Callithrix jacchus: one gene and its partners. Each later gene encodes a partner of the first gene's protein in a complex. Links are inferred from orthologs where the notes say so. Each region holds a gene or a part of one and is shown on either strand. Other genes may lie near its edges.

Region 1 (5,189 bases):
TGGGCAACATAGCAAGACCCCCATGTCTACACAAAAATAAATTAGCCGGACGTGGTGGCATGTGCCTGTAGTCCTAGCTATTCAGGAGGCTGGGTCCAGAGGGTTGCTTGAGCCCAGGAGCTCAGGGCTGCAGTGGGCTATAATCACACCACTGCATTCCAGCCTGGGTGACAGCAATACTGTCTCTTTTATTTTTATTTATTTATTTATTTATTTATTTTGAGACAGAGTCTAGCTCTGTTGCCCATCATGGCTCACTGCAACCTCCGCCTCCTGGGTTCAAGTAATTCTCCTGTCTCAGCCTTTCAAGTAGCTGGGATTACAGGTGTGTACAATGCTTAGCTAATTTTGGTATTTTTAGTAGAGATGGGGTTTCACCATGTTGGCCAGGCTGCTTTTGAACTCCTGACAGGTGATCTGTCTGCCTTGGCCTCCCAAAGTGCTGGGATTATAGGCATGAGCCACCACACCCGGCCTTTGTCTCTTGTTTTTTTTTTTGAGATGGAGTTTCACTCTTGTTACCCAGGCTGGAGTGTAATGGCGCAATCTCGGCTCACCGCAACCTCCGCCTCCTAGGTTCAGTCAATTCTCCTGCCTCAGCCTCCTGAGTAGCTGGGATTACAGGCACCTGCCACCAAGCCCAGCTAATTTTTTTGTATTTTTAGTAGAGACGAGGTTTCACCATGTTGACCAGGATGGTCTCCATCTCTTGACCTCGTGATCCACCCGCCTCGGCCTCCCATAGTACTGGGATTACAGGCTTGAGCCACCGTGCCCGGCCTGTCTCTGTTTCTTTTTAAAAAAGGTATTCATGAAAACTAAGGGGAGAGGTAACGTCACAGTGATATTCTCTGGGTCTGTCTAAGATTGTTGAGCTGGACCATTGCAGATGGGAGGAAAAGATGGAGGTGTGGGGCCAAGGAGCAGAGGCTGCTGGGGACAGGACAGTGTGGCCGGGGCTGCTGTGTTCCTTTATCACCCTGGCCAGGCTGAGGTCCAGGCAGTGTTCTCTGACGGAGCTGTCTCTCTGCACACGAGGAGCCTGAAATATGGAAAAGTAAGTCAGGCTTTTGATGTTCCTGTTTGCTGACCAAGACTCCAAGGCTATTTCTGAATCCCCATAGCTCTCTGGAATTCTGGCCTAAAGAGACCCAGTAGCTAAGCATTAATAGAGGCTGGCATCCCACAAACTGATCGTGTTCCTTGAACATAACAGCAGGGAGGTCAGGGTGCACAGGGTGATGGGTCAGTAGCCTTGTAAAGGACAAGTTTTTTTTTTTTTTGGACAAGTTTTATCCTTTTTCTCCAAGTAGACTGATTCTTCTAGCAGAAGAGCCCCTCCAGCTGTGGGCTGGGAGGCTCAGCTGTCTCTCTTCCTCCAGGGGGTGCTGCAGCTCAGCACTGGGGCTGGGGCTGAGGCCATCCTGGGAACAAACGGAGGCTGGGCCTGATGAAACAGGCCTTAGACAAACGTCCAGTCAGTACAGTGGATGTTATTGCTGGCAAAGCTTGCTCTGTCATCTGAGCCTCTAAATGGAATTTCACTGCTTTTCTTGTATGAGGTTGCATTATTGAAGCTATTTATTACTGTAAGGAGAGCATACTTCCTAAAACAAATGAGGATTTACTAGTCTCTTAGCTTTATCTGGGTGAATGTTTTTGTTTTCTGAGTGGAACAAAAACCTCTTCCCTTAATGGAGTGGCTGCAGCCGGTCACGTTCATGTACATGGAGTAGGTGGAGGACTGCTGCAGTATGCTGACTTTCACAGCCCTGGGTCCTACGGGCTCTCCCTGGCAGGACGTGGACTTGGAGCTGGCCTGCCAGGACCAGACATGGATTTGAACCCAGCTCCACCCATCTCCTCTCCTACCCAGAGGCGCACATCTCACAGGCATGATGAGTGTTTGGGGTACAGGTGTAAGCTAGAGTCATGGAACAATGCAGTGCCCCTGGGCCAGTAGGACGCTCAAGCTCACTTCCTCATTGGCTTCCACTTCTCTAATGTCTGGCACATGAGCTCTGGCTTAGAGTGCAAGGAAGGCTGCAAAGGGAAATGACAGAGAAGAGATTGAAAGGCACCTTCTGTTGGGATGTGTGAATAACCTGTGAGTCCTGAAGTGTTCTCTGCAAGAATGTGTACTCTCTCTGTGTGCGTAGGCGACAATTTCAGGCAGAAACGACACCATGTGGAATATACTTAGGGTGTGTATTCTGTAGTCTCCTTGTCATTCATCCCGCTGATCCTGCGGTGACCTAGCTTTGCAATGTGTTTCTTTAGCTAGGTCAGGGGGTTTTGGTCCAGGTTTCCCCCTCCCTGGTGAAACGGCAGAAGACCCACTTTCATGACTTGCCGTGTGGTGCCTCAGTGATTCTGGGCAACAATGGCTTCATCTGGATTTACCCAACACCTGAGCACAAAGAAGAGGAAGCAGGGGGCTTCGCGGCAAACCTAGAGGTGAGCAAACCTTGGCCGCCGTCGGTGGGAGGGGAGGCTTGGTCTTGGCTATGTTTTTGTGGCCGGCAGAGTTGCTTGTTTTTGACTATGTTATTGCTGTAGGCTGAGTCACTTTGACTTTCCATCAAGGTGTATTTCCATCAAGGTGAGTTCATCTAAAAGGATGAACTCAGTGAATGGTTTCAACTTTGTTGGCAGAGATGGTGAAGTTGCAAGGTAATAGCCAGAGAGCCTCTGAAGAAGTGAAGAAGCCTTTTTTTTTTTTTTTGAGACGGACTCTCGCTTTGTCCCCTAGGCTGGGGTGCAATGGCACAATCTCAGCTCACTGAAGCCTCTGCCTCCAGGTTCAAGTGATTCTCCTCCTTCAGCCTTCTGAGTAGCTGGGATTACAGGCATGCACCACCATGCTTGGCTAATTTTTGTATTTTTAGTAGAGATAGGGTTTCACCATGTTGGTCAGGCTGGTCCCAAACTCCTGACCTTGTGATCTGCCCACCTCGGCCTCTCGAAGTGCTGGGATTACAGGGGTGAGTCACTGCACACGGTCCCATTCTTTTTAATCTCCCTTGGACTTAACCGGTGGTTGGTGTGGAGTTCCAGAGTGATGTGGGAGTCATCAGTGATTTATTTGTGATTTTCTTTGGCTGGTCACTTGTTTAGGTCCTGTCTATATTTCCCTTTCCTCCTCTTCTGCATCCCCTTATAGCCTGTCTCTCTTGCTGATCGGGAGGTGATTTCCCGGCTTCGGAACTGCATTGTCTCGCTGGTAACTCAAAGGATGATGCTGTACGACACCAGCATCCTGTACTGCTATGAAGCATCCCTTCCACACCAGGTATTCTCCCCAGGGCTTTTTGCTTCTTCACTGATCAGCAAGCTGCTCTGTTGTTTACTCAGAGACAATCTGCACATCTCCCCCATACTTTCCCAATATCCATATCCCAATATCCGGTATGGACTGGCCTGGAAACAGCCTTAATGAGTGTCTGCTAGATCTTTCGCTGAGACACTTGCAATCTTCTCAATGTCTAGTGTCAATCTAAGGATTTGGTCGGGGATGGAGGTGTCAGGTGGGACTAGTTTATGAGAGCAGCCCTCATCCCACATTTCAGCCATCTCTTAGATGAATGTCAGAATATTTTTGTTCTTGTCGGCTGTATCTCAAAATCTTGCTGGTTTATTAGGCTGCTTCTAGCAGATCATATCTTGTAACGCTTAGTCTCTGAGACATGAAAGGGATACAGAAGGTTTATGTCAACGGCTTAATGTATGTTTGGATTGGCTTGGTGGTCTGTTGATGGGTGGATTCTTTTCTGAACAAATGCCTTTTCCTTTTTTCAGATCAAAGACATCTTAAAGCCAGAAATAATGGAGGAGATTGTGATGGAGACACGCCAGAGGCTTTTAGAGCAGGAGGGATAAGGAGGTGCTCCAGAAGGACAGGACTGTGGACCTTGCAGGAGTGAAGACGGTGATGTGTGGTCCCCATATGTGGCTCTGCGAAGACTTGAGAGGTCATCACTTTGTCTGCATTGACAGCCCTGTGGCTGCCTCCAGCTTGCAGGCCTGCTTTCTCCTGTCCTGACGCCAACCCTGGGTGGCAGGTGAACAATGCTCCCTTGGTTAGCTGGCTGAGTCCCAGCATTAGGGGCTAGTTTTAGGTCTTCCATAGTGCACAGTGTTCCAGCCGAATGGACTCCCATCCTGGATAATATGGGGAATCCTTTGTCTTCCACTCACGTCATTTGCAAGGCACAGTGCCCCATAAAATTGCCCCAGTAGAAACATGGCATCCCTGACCCCTAGATGGTCTGTTTTGGTTTCCATTCCTATATCCTTTAAATGACTGAGAATGCAGTTGGAAGAATAAAGTTAACCAAGCAGGCCAGCCGCAGTGGCTCACGCCTGTGATCCTGACACTTCGGGAAGCCGAGGCAGGTGGATCACGAGGTCAGGAGTTTTGAGACCAGCCTGGCCAAAATGGTGAAACTCCGTCTCTAATAAAAATACAATATTTAGCCAGGTGTGGTGGTGGGTAACTGTATTCCCAGCTACCCAGGAGGCTGAGGCAGGAGAATTGCTTGAACCCTGGAGGCGGAGGTTGCAGAGCCGAGATCGTGCAACTGTACAACCTGGGCAACAGAGCGAGACTCTGTCTCAAAAAAAAAAAAAAAAAAAAAAAAAAAAAAAAAAACAAAAACAAAACCAAGCAGCCTTTGCTTCATTGGAATCTGATTTTCTGTTGCATATTCCTTCTGGCCATAGATGCAATTATGTCTACACCAGGCTGCCTTCATCTGTCCTGCTTGGAGGTTTCCTTCTAAGATGCTGAATTATTCATGATAATAGAGTGAATTGTTCTGGGACCATGTACTCTGATAAACATGAAGAAAATAAAATAAGAAAAATGGAGACTGGAAAAAGGAAAGCTGTTTTCCTCCTGTAACTGAAGTAGTGGTGTATTAATTTATGGATAATTCAGGGTTAAAAGATAAAAAGACGTAAGTTCTACTGAAGAATGTGAGAATTCCTGTGCATTTTTTTTTTTTTCTGATGACTATCTAAAAATGGTGCCCTGATTAGGCTTAGGGGAACTTCTTTTTTTTTTTGAGTTGGAGTCTTGCTCTGTCACCCAGGCTGGAGTGCAGTGGTGCGATCTCGGCTCACTGCAGCCTCTGCCTCCCGGGCTCCAGTGATTCTCCTGCCTCAGCCTCCTGTGTAGCTAGGTTACC
Region 2 (5,972 bases), on another chromosome or scaffold:
AAGAGATTTCAAGGGCAATTTTCACGATGTGCAGTTTTAGTCTTATGAACAAATTTTAGAACCAACCAAGTTGCCATTTGCAACATAACTTCACTAAAAGCAAGTTGCCTACACATTTAGGACAATCCTCATTCATTCATATCAAGGATCCTGATCACATAAGAGCTTACCAGTGTTACTTCATCTCCTTGGACAGAGACATCAGGTCTTCGGAAGTGACATAAGGCCACGATTGCAGCAACGCTGGCAGCATCAATAATATTTCCATCATGATTTAATAAATGTAGGTCTACACGTATTTGCCAAACCTGAAAGTGAATTTTAAAAAAATAAATCCTGATTACAATGAGTGGCTATTTATCAGGAAAAGTAACGTCGTGTACAAATTTTTTCTTGCTTTAAAACAGGCAGTTACTCCTTCTAGTTCGTCAACAAAAAAATACATTTTAGAAATTTTAAGTCAAACATCTGAAATACTGTGTGAGTCATTTAACAACAGTAAAACACATACTTTAAATAAACAGAACCACTCTAACACTTAATACTAAGATTTTCCTAACCTCAAATCTAATGATACTTTTATCATGTGTGTTAATTTAAAAACCACAAACCCTAGGCCAGGCACAGTGGCTTACACCTATAATCCCAGCACTTTAGGAGGCCAAGGTGGGAGAACTGCTTGAGCCTAGGAGTTTGAGACCTGCCTGGGCGACACAGCAAGACCTTATTTCCACAAAAAGAAAAAAATGTTTTTTAATTAGCCAGGTGAAATGGCATGCACTGTAGTCCTAGCTATTTGGGAGGCTAAGGCAAGAGGATCCCTTGAGCCCAGGAGTTTAAGGTTACATTGAGATATGATGACACCACTGCACTCCTGCCTGGAAAAGAGTGTCACCCTATCCCTAAGAGAAAATAATAAATAAAAAATTTTTAAAAGTTAAACTTTTAGGTTTTGTGATATTTTTAATAAGGGTACAAGTAATGCAAATAGGAAGTATTATACTTAGGTATGGAATATGGAAAGCTAAATGATTTCTGTGGAGTAAAAAGCTTGTCAAAATACCTTAATCAAGAATCAAATTCTGGCCAGGTACAGTGGCTCATCCCTGTAATCTCAGCATTTTGGGAGGCTGAGGCAGGTGGATCACTTGAGGTCTGGAGTTCAAGACCAGCCTGACCAACATGGTGAAACCCTGTCTCCATTAAAAATACAAAAATTAGCTGAACGTGGTGGCAGGTGCCTGTAGTTCCAGCTGCTCGGAAGGCTTGAACAGGGGAGGCAGAGGTTGCAGTGAGCTGAGATTGCACCACTGCAGTCCAGCCTGGGCAACAGAGGGAGACTCTGTCTCAAAATAATAATAATAATAATACAATTCTAATATCCGAATGCAGCACAATTTACTGGGACTAAGATTTCCAAAGTTATCCCTGCTACTGACATGATGTGGCCCTGTGTAAATCGATAAACCTATCAAAATGAGTGATTTCATCTGTTCTTGAGTTCTGCATGAAAAAAGAAAACTACCTGCTTCTATGAACTCATGTAGGTAACATAAGAAAATACATGAGAGATTATATGAAAAAGCCACAAGTTCTTTAAATAAAATATTTTACACACAAATCTAAGTTACTATTTTTACCCTTTAAAGATAAAGCTTTTTGTCCCTTCAGAGAGAGAGAGATGGCACAAAGTTCTAAGGGTATCACATCTGAAGTGAAGTGAACCAGTACAAAACTGAGTTAACGAAAGTTCTGAGAATAAAAACAGACACTGGGATCCGTGAATCAACAATATTTATCCTAAGATTAAGAATTTTGGGCATATTCTCCATTCCATGTGATTTGGGGTTAAAAAAAAAAAAGAAATTTGGGCATATTCCCCACCTTTTCGCCAGCAACAACACAGAGAGATTCAGTGTCTATACACTTCGAATTTCTTAGACATCTTTCCAAGAGTCGATTCAACTTCACCAAGAGATCTGACTGCCTATAATAGGAAAATAGGACGGGGCTAATGTCATGAAATACAACACCAGGTATTCAAAAAAAAAAAAAAAAAAAAAGGTCACTACTGTGAGGTCCTCCTATGACTAAAGTAGCTTAAGAAAAAGATTTAAATACCTGCCAGGTTCAAAAGCTGGAGCGGCCATCTGAGAGAGTTCAAGGTTAAAAAAAAGAATACCTTCTGTTGCCCTATTGAGTTTTGGAGCCACAAGTTCACAGGAAACCTGTCCAAGAACTCTGAAAAGATAAAGGAACAAAGTATTAACTAAATAGATCTTCCTTCCAAAAAAAAAAAATCTGAAACAGCAGGTTTCAACCTTACTGAGTAATATCACACTCAGCCAAATATATCATAGGAGATATAATTATATATAAAGTATAATATACACAGAAATAAAACATAAATTGATACACCTAAAAACACAACAGAAAAAAAATCTTATTACAATGTTTACTATTCCACAGATTGTTTTAAAAATCAATGACCTTTACCTCTAAAGCAAGTATTTATTGATACAAGATGGCATGAAAACTTGAGATTTCTTAAGGGTTTTCACATGGCATCGTTCACCACTATTATCTAACCAAATAGTCTCACAACTTTAAAATGAATATCAGAAAACCTAATTTTCATGTCACTCAGGAAAAAGAGGAAAGCAGGATGTATACTTAATGACAAGATGCTCAAGATCTCTATACTAGTATGAGAAACAAATTCAGTGTGGTCACTACTGGTTGTCTATACGATGTATAGAAGTCAGAAAGAACTATGTGATACGTGACAGAAAATAGGTTTATGATTACAAATTTCAATAGTGACCACAAAACCAAAAAATCTTGCATAAAAAAATACTTACTTTTGTCAGCTCAACAAAGGATACCGTCCAGACTTCTTAGCTGGTTTATAAACATATGTCTTTTTAAAAACTTCTCCCTTTTGAATGTATATATTATTTAAATTCTGTTACCTTGTTTTTCCAAGTTCCACAATGCAACATCCGTAATCGGTTCCAAATGAGATCCTGATGTTCCGATAATCATAGGTTTGTCTGCCATCCAGCCGCTGTAAGCACAAATTCATTCATTTATTCCTTCAACAAGTATTTCTTAAGCAATTACTTTTTCTGGCTCTGGGCTAAGCACTTGGAGGAAAGTGAAATCCTAACCATCCCGCCCATATAGAAAAGCGGAAACTACAGCACAGACAACTGCTGGGAGCCTTGAAAAGAACCTGTCGAAAAAACAATAATAAAGCCTGAGGGTTGGGGTGCACCCGCCGGTCGCTCCCCTAGTTGCTCCCCCGGCCCAGGCGGACCGGGTTATGAGTTCACACCTTGGCGCCCAAGCAGCGCGCCAATTCTGCAGGGACCAAACCATACCTTCTTCTCTTCGATGGCACGGAGTAGGAAGCGGCGCTCGCAGTTTGAAAGTGGCGTTTCCTTCATGGTGTTGGGTCCCGGGTCCCACTGGCACTAAAATCCGCGGGGGAAACGGAACGTGACTCCTGAAGCGCCGCTGCCGGTCCCGCGGCGCAGAAAATTTACGTCATCGAAGCGCGGCGGCGGAAAATGAGAAAGCAAGGGCTCTGGCCTTCGCTACTGCGCAGACTCTTAACAGTGAATAGGGCAAGCCAATGCCCCTTATGGTGGCTGTTTTTGAACGTGAAGTTTCGTTTCTTTGCTCATAAAGTGCGGAGGAGAAAAGGAAACTTACAATAACCATCAGAGTGATAGAAATTAATATCAGTAGACCGCTCTCACACTCCACCTTTCGCTCAGTCCTTTCTCGGGGTGGAGACTAGACAGATACTATTGCTATTTTACAGATGAATTAACATTGGCCCCTAGAAAGCCGCAGATGCAGGGTTCGGAGCAGATTCAATGAACGAGCACTGGAATGAGGGGGTATACGGGATGGTGGAGAAAGTTGACATGGTGAAACGGGATGTTATTGCTGCCAAAGGTGAAATCTTGTGGGATCTGAAAAGCTGACGAGAATAGAGAACGTTTGCACGTAATAACTAATGGCGTTACTGCTACTGTGGACGAAACTAAGTATACGTTTATTATCCGCTCCCCAGCTATTTGAAGTTGATAGACTTATTTTTACGGTCACAGAGAAACAGCGGGGCCATGCTGCCAACCACTCAGCTTTTTTGGAGAGGCAGTATCAAATAATAGTTTTAATAAGTGTTCCTTGCCAGGGTTCAAATTGTAAGTCTATTGTTAACTACTATAACCCTGGGCAAGTTGACCTATGTGCTTCACATTACTCACCTGCAAAAAAAAAAAAAAAAAGTGGGGGAATGCGAATGAGAAACCTGTGTATTATGAGGGATAAAAATGAGTTTTTATATATACATATAACGCTTAGAACAGTGCCTGGCATGGAGTAAGCACTATTTAAGTGTTTGCATATTATTATTTTGTTTCCTTTTGCTTTAGAGGGTGGTAGGCACTGTAACTCCTATGCAGGCTCTTAGGCTTCTTTGTAGCTTCTCACATTTTTTTTTTTTTTTTTTTTTTTTTTAGCAGTGATACATCTTAGTCTCACTTTGTACTACCATGTACTCAATAAATACTTGAAGAGGGCCTACTGTGTCCAGGAATAATTTGAGTGCTGGAGAAATGAGGTAGACAAGATCCCTTCTGTCAAGGAATTTATATTCTTTTTGGAAGAGACAAAAAAACCCTAAACCAAATAGAACAATTTCATACAGTGGTAAGTCTATCTGAGAATAGGAATGCTATCTTAATAGGGGTAGTTGCAGGAACAGGTGACTTTGTAGAGGTGACATTTAAGTAAAATAAATCTTTGATGTTAAGCAGGAGCAACTTTGATGCCATCTGGAGGAGAGGAAAAGTGTTTCAAGCAGAAAGAGTAACACATGCAAAAATGAGATGGGATGCGGGCTCCACATGGTCTGGAGATAGAAATTGTGAAGAAGGAGGAAAGTAGACAGAAATGATTAATTTTCAGAATCGTCAAGATTACAGTGTACAAACCACTTAAATTCTTTAACAATTTTTTTAGTGCAGTTCCACACCAAAACTCCTGATTGATAAATTCTTCATTTAAATCCTTGGGTTCTTTCAGTGGCAGTTTGATAAATTTTCCCTTCAGTGATGAAATAGAACTTTATTGAAATAGTCTGTTATTTCCTGCAAGGCAGCTTGGTAGTGGAAAGAGAATGGACTTTGACTTCAGATAAACTTCAGCTCAAATGGACTTGGAGTAAGCTAAATAATCTTTCTGATTTTGGGGTTCTGTATCTTCAGGTTGGAGATAATAATTATGCTGTGTTAAGTGGTCTGAATGAAAGCATCTAATTAAACATTTTGGACATTGTAGCTATTCAGATGTTAGTTTCCTCTTTCCTTGTTGGTTTGGCGAAGGTTCCCATGAAACTGCCCAAACTCAGCATGACAGATTGCTTTTCTGAGACTGCTGCTTGATTACTTTGCTTTCCTTCCACTTTTGTTGAATTTCCACTGTTCTTTTTCTACTTTCACTTTTATATTGTAATTTTAACACTCCTGTTTTTGCCATTTTATTTTCGAGTTAATCCAAAGATGTATGACCCACCTCTACTTAATATGCATAACATCGTAAAACATATCTACTTTACAGCCTTGTGTTTATAAGAAAGTTTTGAATGCCAAAGGAAAATTTGTTTCATGAAAAATAGGTTTGGAAGTTTAAGAAGAGGTTCAGATAATGTAATACATTCTGTTCTTTTTTTTTTTTTTTGATGGAGTCTCACTCTGTCACCCAGGCTGGAGTGCAGTGGTGTGATCTTGGTTCACTGCAACCTCAACCTCCCAGGTTCAAGTAATTCTCCTGCCTCAACCTCCCGAGTAGCTGGAACTATAAGCATACACCACCATGCCTGGCTAATTTTTGTATTTTTAGTAGAGACAGGGTTTCACCATGTTGGCCAGGCTGGTTTCAAACTCTTGACATCAGGT
Region 3 (5,921 bases), on another chromosome or scaffold:
TGAACCCAAGAGGTGGATGGCATAGTAGGCTGATGTGGCACCACCTGGGCTGCTCCACAGTAAGCAGTGTCTGTCTGCAGAGCAGAGGGTGGGAAATCGGGGGTGCCCAGTGGCAGAGGATGGTGACCCATCATGGCCTCAGACCAGCTGCAGTAGGGCTGTGACTCACTCACTCACTCGAATGCCTCTGTCTTTCAGGAGAGCAGAACCACCTCGAGGGGATGCTGTGACTACTGAAATTGGGCACCTGTAGCAGACTGCATTGCCCTAGCTCACCTGCTCTTCTTAGTGTCATGCTGACACTCATACCACTGAAGGGTGGGGTCCAGGTCCCTGCAGGGTCCAGTCCTACAGGGTTCTGTGAGTCCCTCTTGGCTGGTGTGGAGACAAGAAATTGTAGAAATAAAAGACACAAGACACAGAGATAGAGAAAAGAGAGTTTGGGCCCAGGGGTCCACTGCTACCCAGGTCGTGGAGACCAGCAGTGGCCCCGAATGCCAGACGGGACACTCTCACTTTTATTGAGTTGCAAATCTGGGGGCAAGGTAGGTAGGATGTGGCGGCCTTGGTGGTCAGAGACTGGGGGCAGGGTGGATAGTACGTGGCAGTGATAGGGTCAAGTACATCATGTGTCATTCAGGTAGAGGCTCAGGAATTTCTGGCCCCCAAAGTGAGGCAAGAAGCATAATTCATCAGCGTCTTTTCCATACTTACCAAGAAAGAACTAAAACATTAAGATTTATATGACTGTTACTGATTATCTTTCCTAAGAAAAAAAGAAGCCAGGTGCAGAAGCAGAACATGAGAGTGGACCTGGTATGTGACCGCTGAAGCACAGCATCACACAGAGAGAGTTAAGCCCCTGATGTCTGTGGGCCTCCTGGCAACTGTCAGGCGTTACCACAAGAGCTTGGAGAAGTGGAGTTTTCTCCTAACTTCCCCAGGAAGGAGACATCTCAGCCATCTTGGACATCTCCTTCCCTAGCTGGCTAAACAGTGGGCGCTTTCACAGCACTGGAGCTGCCGCACGGCCGAGGTGCCCTCCAGCAGCCCTTCCTAGGCGTGACAGAGGGCTTAGAGCATCTTGCCTTAGTGTCATTCATTTCACAATGTCACCCCAGGTTCACACTTCCGACCTGATAGGCATTAGTAAAAGAATTAAGATCACCTATAAATAACTAAGATCACCTATGAATAACTAATAACTACTATGGTTATATTTCTAGTTACTTTCTTCTTCATTATTTATATGGAAATAGGCTGAGGTATTTCGCTCCTGCCTTGGCGGTCATAGATCCCCATCCCTTAAGCCTGGGCAGACTTGTCTGACTGACTTGACCCCAGAGTCTGGCAAGAGTGGCACTATATGACTTCTGAGCTAGGTCATAAAAATACCACACACGTCGCCCACCTTGTTGTCTTGGAAGGCTACCCTTGGAACCCAACTGCCATACTGCAAGGAAGCCTCGGTTGCATGTAGAAGCCACATGTAGGTGTGCTGCCTAACAGCCACACGTGAGGTCCTGGCCCGCCACCAGCATCAGTCACCGAAGATATGAGGGAGAAAACTTTGAGGATGGCTCCAGCCCCAGCCACCATCTAGCAGGAACTGCAGGAGAGATCCTAAATGCAAACTACCTAGCTGAGCCTAGGTAACACCAGACTGCAGAACATCATAAAATAATCATGTTATTCGAAGCCACTGAGGTTAGGTGGCAAGAGATAAACAGACATACAACGCCTCTTTGGAAAGGATGAGGAATCAGCATCCTCAAAGGGAAACGGGAGGCCCACTTGACTGCAGTGTGGGAGCTCGGTGTAACGGAGGGCAAGGGAGGAATGGAGGTGCCAGGTGTGGACCATGCTGGGACACCAGCCCGGTCACCTTCCTAGGACCCCTCAATGCCTTCTCTTCTCCTGTCAGTCAATGCTGCAACCACTAAGTTCATCCTTCCACTTTCACACTTACAGTGCGGGGAAGGCTGAATAATGCAGGCACCATTGGTCCCGAGGGCGTGGCTTCGGAATTCCTCCTTCAGCGGGCGCCCACTTCTTGGCACCCGTGGCACAGCTCCGGGAACGGCCGCGGGCCTAGCCCCCGCTTCCCCGACAGAGCCGCTGCAGCTCCCCGGAGACAGAAGCAGAGCCGGACCGCCGAAAACCGTAGATCCTGGGAGGTCGGGGCCGCGGGTAGCTGTAGTTTCCCGGGACCGGAAGTGGCAACGGACCGCCGGAAATCTTAGATCCGGGGACCTCGGGGCGGCGGTTAGCTGTAGTTTCCCGGGACCAGAAGTGGCAACGGACCGCCGAAAACCATAGATCCGGGGAAGTCGGGGCCGCGGGGAGTTGCAGTTCCGCGGACCCGGAAGTGACAGAGGACCACCGGAAACCGTAGATCCGGGGAAGTCGTAGCCGCCTGGAGCTCTAGTTCTCCAGTTCTCCAGCGGCTCAGAGAACTAAGCCGAGAGGGAGTTGGCGGCCGGGCGGAATGGCGGGGCTGGAGCTCTTATCGGACCAGGGCTACCGGGTGGACGGGCGGCGCGCCGGGGAGCTGCGCAAAATCCAGGCGCGGATGGGCGTGTTCGCGCAGGCTGACGGCTCGGCCTACATCGAGCAGGGCAACACCAAGGCGCTGGCGGTGGTCTACGGCCCGCACGAGGCGAGTGGGAGGGGAAATCGTGCGGTCGCGGAGCCGCAGGGCAGCCGGGCTGAGCACAGGCTCAGGGACTTGAGGGGCAACGGCCGGCGCGCCTCCGACCACACAGCCGATGCTCAGCACCGCATGTCACTCGGAGTAAACGCAAGTCCTTAGTGCACTGAGCGGTGGTCCTGCCTTTCTCATCGGCTTGTCCCTGCGCCCTCCCTTCTCTTTGCGGCTCTTCAGCTCCCCCACTCGCCCCGTCACCTCTCAGCTCTACTCCGACGTCACTCCTCCCCAGACAACCTTATCCACGCGGTACTTCCCCTCCCTACAATAAACCCTTCCTTGTCTTTTGTGCACCTACGATCTCAAACGCCTGTTTTGCTTAAGCACGTTCACCTTTGTTTCCTTGCTGGAACATAAGCTTCCTAAAGACAGGAACTTTACATGAAACTCTATGGTTTCACTGCGGTTCCCAGCGCTGTAACAGTGCCTGGCCAGCAAAGGTATTGAAAATGTGCTTAGCGCATGGCTGTGGGAGCTCTGCTTTCTAGGCGCAGGGAAGCACGAGGGCGAAGACCACGGGGGTGAAAACAAGCATAGCACTTAGGCAGAGCAGAAAGACTGCTGGTGGGGAAAGGGGGTAACTCCAAATTAAAGTAGAGTGTTTCCGGGGAGGTGAGGACTTGGGATTTTGTAGACCAGGGAAAGGATTTGGGATTTTATTTCACATGTAATGTAACGCCTTCGTAAGTTAATTAGGATTTGAGTGTGTACGTGAGATAGAATCAGCCTTGATGTTTGTAAACTTGGGCTGGAAGGGAATGGGACAAGGATGGACACAAAGCAGCCAACTAAAAGATGCATGCCAGGAGGAAAAACGAGCAAAACAGGGGGCTTTGTTTTGGAGGTAAAGTAGTTGCCTCTTGCTGAGGCCTTGAAAGTGAAAGGAGAGGCAGACCCCCAGAGTACAGTGGAGTGTGAGCTGGAAGAAGTGGGCCTGGCTCATGTGTCCATCTTCTTCCAGATCCGGGGCTCGCGGGCTCGAGCCCTGCCAGACAGGGCCCTAGTGAACTGTCAATATAGTTCAGCGACCTTCAGCACCGGTGAGCGCAAGCGACGGCCACATGGGGACCGTAAGTCCTGTGAGATGGGCCTACAACTCCGCCAGACTTTCGAAGCAGCCATCCTCACACAGCTGCACCCACGCTCCCAGATTGATATCTATGTGCAGGTGAGCCGGCTGCAGCCTGCAATCCAGGGAGGGAAGAGTGTGATGGGATTGAGGAGGGAGTCTGATGAACTGACACCCTGGGGTCCTCGCAGGTGCTACAGGCAGATGGTGGGACTTACGCAGCGTGTGTGAATGCAGCCACGCTGGCAGTGCTGGATGCTGGCATACCCATGAGAGACTTTGTGTGTGCGTGCTCAGCTGGCTTCGTGGACGGCACAGCCCTGGCAGACCTCAGCCATGTGGAGGAAGCAGCTGGTGGCCCCCAGCTGGCCCTGGCCCTGCTGCCAGCTTCAGGCCAGATTGCGCTGCTTGAGATGGATGCCCGGCTGCATGAGGACCACCTGGAGCAGGTGTTGGAGGCTGCTGCCCAGGCTGCTCAAGATGTGCACATCCTCTTGGACCGAGTTGTCCGGCAGCATGTGCGTGAGGCCTCTATCTTGCTGGGGGATTGACCACCCTGCCACCCATGTCCAGAATAAAACCCTCCTCCGCCCACACACTCCTCACTGTACTTTGATCACCCAACAGCACTTTGGAGCTATGTGAAGCCCTGCAGAGCCTGGCCTGGTACTGGCTACTGGGAATGACCAGGGACCCTCTTATATAGAGAACTGTCTATCTCTGTATATCCTGATTGAAACCCTGAAGAGAACAGTGGATTAGGGGGTTGAGGAGAGATAGTTCCTGGGTGGAAAAAGCAGCATGTCCCAGTAAGGACTCAAGGCAGCTGAGTAAGAGGCAGGGCCTGGCAAGATGAGCCAGGCCATTAGACTGAGGAATCTATTCTTACTCCAGCACATCGGGAGCCCTGAGCAAAGGGCTGAGGAAAAACTCAGCTGGCTCTGGGTACCCACCCTAGAGATGTGGGTAGCCATGTCCCACAGCCTGTGGACTATGGCTTGGAACCCCTTGGGCTTTTCCTGCTGCTTACCCTGGACTCTAAAAGTACAAAAGCCAGGCATAGTGGCTTACACCTGTAATCCCAGAATTTTGGGAAGCTGAGGCAGATGGATTGCTTCAGGTCAGGAATTTGAGACTAGCCTGGCCAACATGGCAAAATCCCATCTCTACTGCAAATACAAAAATTAGCTGAGGTGGTAACACACACCTGTATAATCCCAGCTACTTGGGAGGCAGAGGCAGGAAAATCTCTTGAACCTGGGAAGTGGAGGTTGCAGTGAGCCGAGATCGTGCCACTGCACTCCAGCCTGGGCAATAGGGCAAGACTCCATCTAAAAAAATAAAAGTACAAAAAACGTGTTCTCATGGATCAGTAGAGGTCAGGAGTTCGAGACCAGCCTAGCCAACATGGTGAAACCCCATCTCTACCAAAGATATAAAAATTAGTGTGATAGTGGGCACCTGTAGCCCCAGGTACTTGGGAGCCTGAGGCAAGAGAATTGCTTGAACTGGGAGGCCAAACCCCACACCAGAGGTTGCACCACTGGACTCCAGCCTGGGTGACAGAGCAAGACTTTGTCTTACACACACACAAAAAAACCTGTTCTCATATGGAGTCTTCAGCTTTGACTCTTTCTGCCCACCACATTTTTGTTTGTTGAGACATGGTCTTGGTCTGTCACTCAGGCTGGAGTGCAGTGGTGTGATCACGGCTCACTACAGCCTCGACCTCCCAGGCTCAAGCAATCCTCCCCCTTTAGCCTCCTGAGTAACTGAGCTGAGACTAGAGGCATGCCCCACTCCACCTGGCTAGTTTTAAAAGCTTTTTTGTAGAGACTAGGTCTCACTTTGTTGTCCAGGCTGGTCTCAAGGGATCCTCCCACCTCAGCTTCCCAAACTGCACCCTCTTCTTGAGCAAACTCCGCCTTCATCCACCTCTGACCCACAGATCTGGCCAAGCCCTGACTACCCGCTCCTGCAGTCTGGACCCTGGGGCTGCTTCTCCCCTAATATTCCAAGGGTCTCCTGGCACAGACAGGGATGGTATGCTCCCCACTTTATGCTGCGCACACCCCAGCTCCAGTAGTGCCATCAGCATCTTTGCAGTCATCTGACTCGAAACCTTGGTGCTGGGCTCACGCTGTG
Region 4 (5,689 bases), on another chromosome or scaffold:
ATAAACTAATTTCTCCCAAATGTGACACAACCTCTAATGGCCATGTTTTAGCCTAATTATTCTGTCCATCCTTTCCCACCACCTCCAAAAAGAACCAGAGTTTCTTTCTCTTGGAAACATGAGTTCAGAACTGAACTAGAAGGAATGGTCTCTTTTACAGAAGAGCTGGTAAGGAACCACATTTTTTCTACCACTGGCCCAAGAAGCAGAAAACCAATCTGCGGCGAGACCAAAACAAAGCAAAGTGGGGGGAAAAAAAGCAGAGATGAGCAAGAGAGAGCCTTGCTCATCCAAGTGCCTGTGGATTCCTGGAGAAACACTCGCAGTCTTGTAATCCACACTATTTTGCTTGAGCCAGTGTGTTGGTTACCATTACTAGCAACTGAATCATGCTTTGGCCACCTCTGCAAGCTGATCTTCCACCATTTCCCCCAACCCACCCCTTAGGCTCCACACATCCCCCACCTGAGGACTTACAGACTCACCATCCCTTCCTTCTGGAACACTCATCCCTACTTAATTATCGGTCATGCTGAGAGCTCAGTTAAAATGCTATTTCCTTCGGGAAGCCTCCTCTGACCTCCCAGTCTAGATCGTATCCCTGTGTTTTCCTTCATAGCACTCAGTACAATTTTATACATAAACACTCAAGTACATTAATAATTTCTGCATGTTCCTTCCTAGTCCCTCAGCCCAGCTCCATTCTGTGTTGAATAAATGCATACTGAGTCCTGAAGATACAGAGGGAAAATCCTTGATACGGATTTAGGGGAGCAATTCCACCTCCTTAGGGAAGCCTTCAGAGCATTATAAGTCCCTGGAATTCTTTTTTATTTATTTTTTAAAAATAAATTTTATTTCTTTAGAGATGGGGTCTTACTGTGTTGCCCAGACTGGTCTCAAACTCCTAGGCTCAAGCAATCCTCCCTCCCATCTCAGCCTCCCAAAGTGCTGGGATTACAGGCATGAGCCACCATGCCCAGCCCCTGGTATACTTTAACTTCTTCAACCTCCACTAACTATACCACTTCCTTGGCAGAGATCTTATTTTACCTTAGTCTTTATTTTATTCACTTTTACTCTCTTTGTCTCCCTCCTATCTTTCATTGATTTCACAACCATGTTTTAGCATCCCTACTGTTTCCCACATAACATGCCAGAGACTAGATAGATGATGTAAATAAAATTAACTAACTTTGCCCAAATTAGATCCTAAGCATCTCAAGGGCCAGAAATGAGGCTTACACCCTTTTCTTCCTTGACAGCACCCAGCAGATAACAGGTGTGTTATAAATATAAATGATTTTCTGACTCAATATAAAGGAATAAGGCAGGATTTATGACTATGGTGGAACTCTGCTTCTGGATAATGAACTGCCATGGGAATTAAGGGTGCTGGGAAGGCATCTCTAACCTTGAGGTTACAGATATATCCATGCCTCAGTGCCACTTTCAGAGATGAAATGTGAGAGAAAACAGGACACATGACAGAGTCAGTATATCATGGTAAGCTGCAGTAACAAAGAAAGAAAACCAAAGGTTTTTAAATTTAGAGAAAAATGGTTACCCTTAATGTGTCCCTAAAAAGCATACTTTGAGGATAAAAATCAACTGAACAAAGTGTATATAAAAATATAGCAGAGAGGGCCAGATGCGGTGACTCACGCCTGTAATCCCAGCACTTTGGGAGGCCAAGGCGGGTGGATCACGAGGTCAAGAGATCGAGACCATCCTGGTCAACTTGGTGAAACCCCGTTTCTCCTAAAAATACAAAAAATTAGCTGGGCATGGTGGTGCGTGCCTGTAATCCCAGCTACTCAGGAGGCTGAGGCAGGAGAATTGCCTGAACCCAGGAGGCGGAGCTTGCGGTGAGCCGAGATCCCGCCATTGCACTCCAGCCTGGGTAACAAAAGCGAAACTCCATCTCAAAAAAAAAAAAAAAAAAAAAAATATATATATATATATATATATATATATATATATATCAGGGAAAGACACATCTAATGGCTTTTGGGCATTTTTATGCCCCCTCACACACAAATAACATACAAGTTCCCCAGAATACACACATATATCCCACTACTCCTAATCCTGAATTATAACTAAAATATGCAACTATGAGTTCTGACTTTATTAACCAGGCTTAATATACAACCTGTTGGCCAAATATTGGCATTTCTTCATCTATAGAGGGCCCAGAAGATAACAGCAGGTGACAATTTTTAAATGGACATGGCCTTAACTCACGTTGTGGAACTTTAATGACAGCTGGCCGCTTCAATTTAATGGCTACATCCCAGGACCACTAACTTTACTGAGAGAGGAAAACCATGAGGAGGGGCTGTGACCAGAACTCTGCCAAGGGTGGGCTGAAGAACTCTGATAGGAGGACGACACCGTGGGTTAACAAGTGGAGACAGAGTCAGAGGAAGATACGGGGTAGCTCGTTACCACGTTCAACATTTTTCAATCCTCGTTCTGGAGTGGTCAAAACCAGGGGTTTAATATAGAGCACAGAGGACGTTAGGTTTTAGCTGCCTAGGGAATTAGTTCTCCACTGGCAAAATGGAAACAGCACTTATGATACCAGCTGCCTAGCCGCTGTCTAAAAACCCTTCCCCTTTATTGGCAAGGCAATTTGTATTTTCTTTTCTTTCTTTCTTTTCTGAGACAAGAGTCTCGCTGTGTTGCCCAGGCTGGAGTGCAGTGGCACGAGCTTGGCTCATTGCAATCTCTGCTTCAGCCTCCCGAGTAGCGGGGACTACAGGGGTCTGCCACCACGCCTGGCTAAGTTTTGTATTTTTTAGTAGAGACGGGGGTTTCACTATGCGGCCAGGCTGGTCTTGAACTGCTGACGTGGTGATCCGCCCGCCTCGGCCTCCCAAAGTGCCGGTATTACAGACCTGAGCCAATGCTTCTGGCCTGCTTTTCCTCACCTCGTAGTTGGGAGGCGCATGCGAGCTGAACCCACTTTGAAATTACAAACTGCCATACAAAAACCCTTCTCCCTTTATTTGTACGGCAATTTGCATTTTGCCGTGCGTTCACCTCGCATGCGCTTCCCAACCACGAGGTGAGGAAAGGCAGGCCAGAAGCCTACCTCCAAACTCCCATTTCCTAGAAAAGAAAACTGAGGCTCGGACCAGTTAAGTGCGCGAAAGCCGAAAGGATGGCCATGGGCGATGCTCTCTCTCTAAGAAAATACCTCCGGGACTAACGCTTCCTGCCCGGGTTCGGAATGTTACAGACCCGCAAAACTGCAAATGCGCTAACAGTCTTAAAAACGTCCGCGTTGTCAGCTCTGCAAAGCAAACGCCGCCCGCACAGCCGTTTAATCACAGGTAAACGGAGAGTCGCTGCAGCTCGGCTGCCTCTTGCTTGGCGAACCCAGGGTAGGCCGCGACCCGCAGGGCTAGGCTGAACCCGGCGGCCGACCCAACGCCGCTGCTGTAGCTACCTGTACGCCGTGCATGATGTACACCTTCTCCGCCTCACTCAGCGCCACTGACGCCATGCTGCCGAGCTGCCCCGCGAGCCAAACGTCATCTGCACGCGTCGTCTTCGCTGGACCACTCCCCCACGCCCCACCCGCCGCGTCCGCGCGTCATCAACCTGCGCGGCGGCCGCCGCCACTGCCGGGAGCTCGATGGGCTTCTCCTGCGCGCCGCCCGGTGTCTGGCCGAGTCCAGGGAACCGCGGCGCCTCGTTTCAAGGAGTCATCGCCGCAGCCGGAGGCCCGGTCCCGGGTTGGGGACTGCAGGGGAAGGCAGCGGCGGGAGCGCCCCCGGGGGCCTGGGACTGGGGAACTGCCTCCGGCTTCACGGTCAGTTGGGAGGGGAAACTGGGGTTGGGGTGAAGAAGCTGGGGTGAGGAGAGCCACACGGGCCGGGGGACTTGCAGTGGGAGAGGTGTGCGGCGCAGTTGCTCAGAGCTGGAGTTGACCTAGGAGCTCGTGTGTGTCTCGTGTGTGTGTGTGTGTGTGTGTGTGAGAGAGAGAGAGAGAGAGAGAGAGAGACAGACAGACCCCGACTAAGGAAGGGCGGACGTCGTGATTGGCCTGGGGGTGGCGTTGCCCCGCTCTTCTCCCCTCCACTTCTTTAGTCCCTAGGGAGGCTGAAGAGGAGAGGCGATGCAGCCCTCTGTAGGTAGTTCTCGGTAGGAAGGGTCCGGGCTGGGAGTGGGGAACACTAGACCTAAGGCGTCCCCACCCCTCCACCCAGGAATATCTCTCGCTGACTCGCTCACTCTGACCGAACGCTGACCCAGTACCTTGCTGGGACCTCTTGCTTCGGATGCTTATCAGCATAGTCCCAAAGACTAGGGGGAGGAGGCGCTTGGTAACCGGCGCTAGCTGGGTGCGCAGTGCCCGGACGTCCCTGACGCTTCCTAGCGGGAACTGAAAACCCCGGCTTGATGGAAGTGGTAGCTGGGAGCTGGGAGCAGTTGCCCGTAAAAAAGCCAACCCCATGCAATGGCCGAGTGGGAGTATAGGCATTGGATGCCCGGAGAGGGTATCTGCAAGGTCAAGGTTCCTTTTGGGGTCACCAGAGGAACTCATTTAGGCGCGGCGGAAAAAGTATGGTGCAAGTTTTAAAGGAGCCGTGTTGGTAAATGGGAGAAAGTTAACCCGAATTAGTTGAAACGAGGGCAAGTTGAAGCAAGTCTCATGACTTTCCTGATGTTCCATTTATGAGGACCCTCCCTGTTCTCAAAAGTGAAAGTAACCCTAATTAGCTTGATCAGCCAAAAAAAAAAAGGTTGGTATTTCTCAGATAATGGCTTCAAATACAGTAACTATTGGGAGCCTACTATAGATAGGCTTTGTGCTACCTTTGGAACACAAGGCAAGTAAAACACACTATGCCCAGAGAAGTTCCCTGGCAGTGGTTCAGGCTCCGGGGCCAAAATAACCATAGATCAGGGTGGTTAGAGCTATGATGGTGGCATCAGTGGGCACAGTGGGATTGGGAGGTCGTCTGAAGTTACAGAGAGGAAGTGCTTGCTTACATTCTTAATGATTAAATTGCTGAACTCCAAAATTGATGATCAGTTCTTAGTAGACTGGACATTAGATGTTTCTTATGTCTCTACATAGTTCTCTACAGGGGCACCTAAAAGGAAGACATCTTGCAGGATTGGACTTTGCCTTCCTGGGAAACTGGGAGAGGTGAAGCTGGAAGGGCTTCCACCCTAATGAGGGCACAGGTGCCCCACCTGTTGTGGCACACAGATGTGTTTGTGTGTGGTTGGACAGCTGGGTTCTGTGTGAGGAGCTCTGTGTGATAAGATAACATGAGATTGCTGATGTTAGAAATGGTATTTTCTAGATGTGCTAGAGATTTGCTCAGAAAGGAGAGACCCTGGAAGCTGGGTTTTAGAAACTAGGATTATGTGAGAGGACTAAGGATTCAAAAGGTGACAGCAAATGGACAGATCAGCAAAGAGGAAGAAAAGCTCGAGTTCAGAAACCACGGGGTCATCTTTATGTCAAGATCTTCCCAGTGTCTTTTAAAATATACAACATATATTTGATCTGTGCCCCTGACAATTGGTAGAAATTCCATACTGGAGAAGGGTTGGCAGTATTTGCTAAAAAATGTTACAAATGATACTAGGCTAAGTAGGTATGAGAGATATAAACAGTAGAATGTTCCTTTTCAAATTGTCTACTAAAACAATGACCACCTTG

The links. The genes of interacting proteins can lie anywhere in the genome.
Region 2: EXOSC2 (region 1) and EXOSC9 share a complex: the UniProt entries of both Homo sapiens proteins name them as parts of the RNA exosome core complex. The link is inferred for Callithrix jacchus from reciprocal best matches to the Homo sapiens genes EXOSC2 and EXOSC9.
Region 3: EXOSC2 (region 1) and EXOSC4 share a complex: the UniProt entries of both Homo sapiens proteins name them as parts of the RNA exosome core complex. The link is inferred for Callithrix jacchus from reciprocal best matches to the Homo sapiens genes EXOSC2 and EXOSC4.
Region 4: EXOSC2 (region 1) and EXOSC7 share a complex: the UniProt entries of both Homo sapiens proteins name them as parts of the RNA exosome core complex. The link is inferred for Callithrix jacchus from reciprocal best matches to the Homo sapiens genes EXOSC2 and EXOSC7.

What each region holds. Positions count from the first base shown.
Region 1 is NC_133502.1:179,361,597-179,366,785, forward strand, and holds the end of EXOSC2 (exosome complex component RRP4), read left to right. Parts: intron 1-988; coding exon 989-1,057; intron 1,058-2,280; coding exon 2,281-2,457; intron 2,458-3,163; coding exon 3,164-3,292; intron 3,293-3,798; coding exon 3,799-3,879; 3' UTR 3,880-4,880; downstream 4,881-5,189. UniProt on the Homo sapiens protein: Non-catalytic component of the RNA exosome complex which has 3'->5' exoribonuclease activity and participates in a multitude of cellular RNA processing and degradation events.
Region 2 is NC_133504.1:75,882,973-75,888,944, forward strand, and holds the start of EXOSC9 (exosome complex component RRP45), read right to left. Parts: upstream 3,549-5,972; 5' UTR 3,450-3,548; coding exon 3,384-3,449; intron 3,068-3,383; coding exon 2,973-3,067; intron 2,242-2,972; coding exon 2,122-2,241; intron 1,988-2,121; coding exon 1,885-1,987; intron 309-1,884; coding exon 171-308; intron 1-170. UniProt on the Homo sapiens protein: Non-catalytic component of the RNA exosome complex which has 3'->5' exoribonuclease activity and participates in a multitude of cellular RNA processing and degradation events.
Region 3 is NC_133517.1:53,541,544-53,547,464, reverse strand, and holds the start of EXOSC4 (exosome complex component RRP41), read left to right. Parts: upstream 1-2,373; 5' UTR 2,374-2,488; coding exon 2,489-2,659; intron 2,660-3,668; coding exon 3,669-3,875; intron 3,876-3,967; coding exon 3,968-4,294; coding exon of another isoform or gene 4,295-4,327; exon of another isoform or gene 4,328-4,370; intron 4,371-5,724; coding exon 5,725-5,862; 3' UTR 5,863-5,921. UniProt on the Homo sapiens protein: Non-catalytic component of the RNA exosome complex which has 3'->5' exoribonuclease activity and participates in a multitude of cellular RNA processing and degradation events.
Region 4 is NC_133516.1:27,719,090-27,724,778, reverse strand, and holds the start of EXOSC7 (exosome complex component RRP42), read right to left. Parts: upstream 3,549-5,689; 5' UTR 3,515-3,548; coding exon 3,458-3,514; intron 1-3,457. UniProt on the Homo sapiens protein: Non-catalytic component of the RNA exosome complex which has 3'->5' exoribonuclease activity and participates in a multitude of cellular RNA processing and degradation events.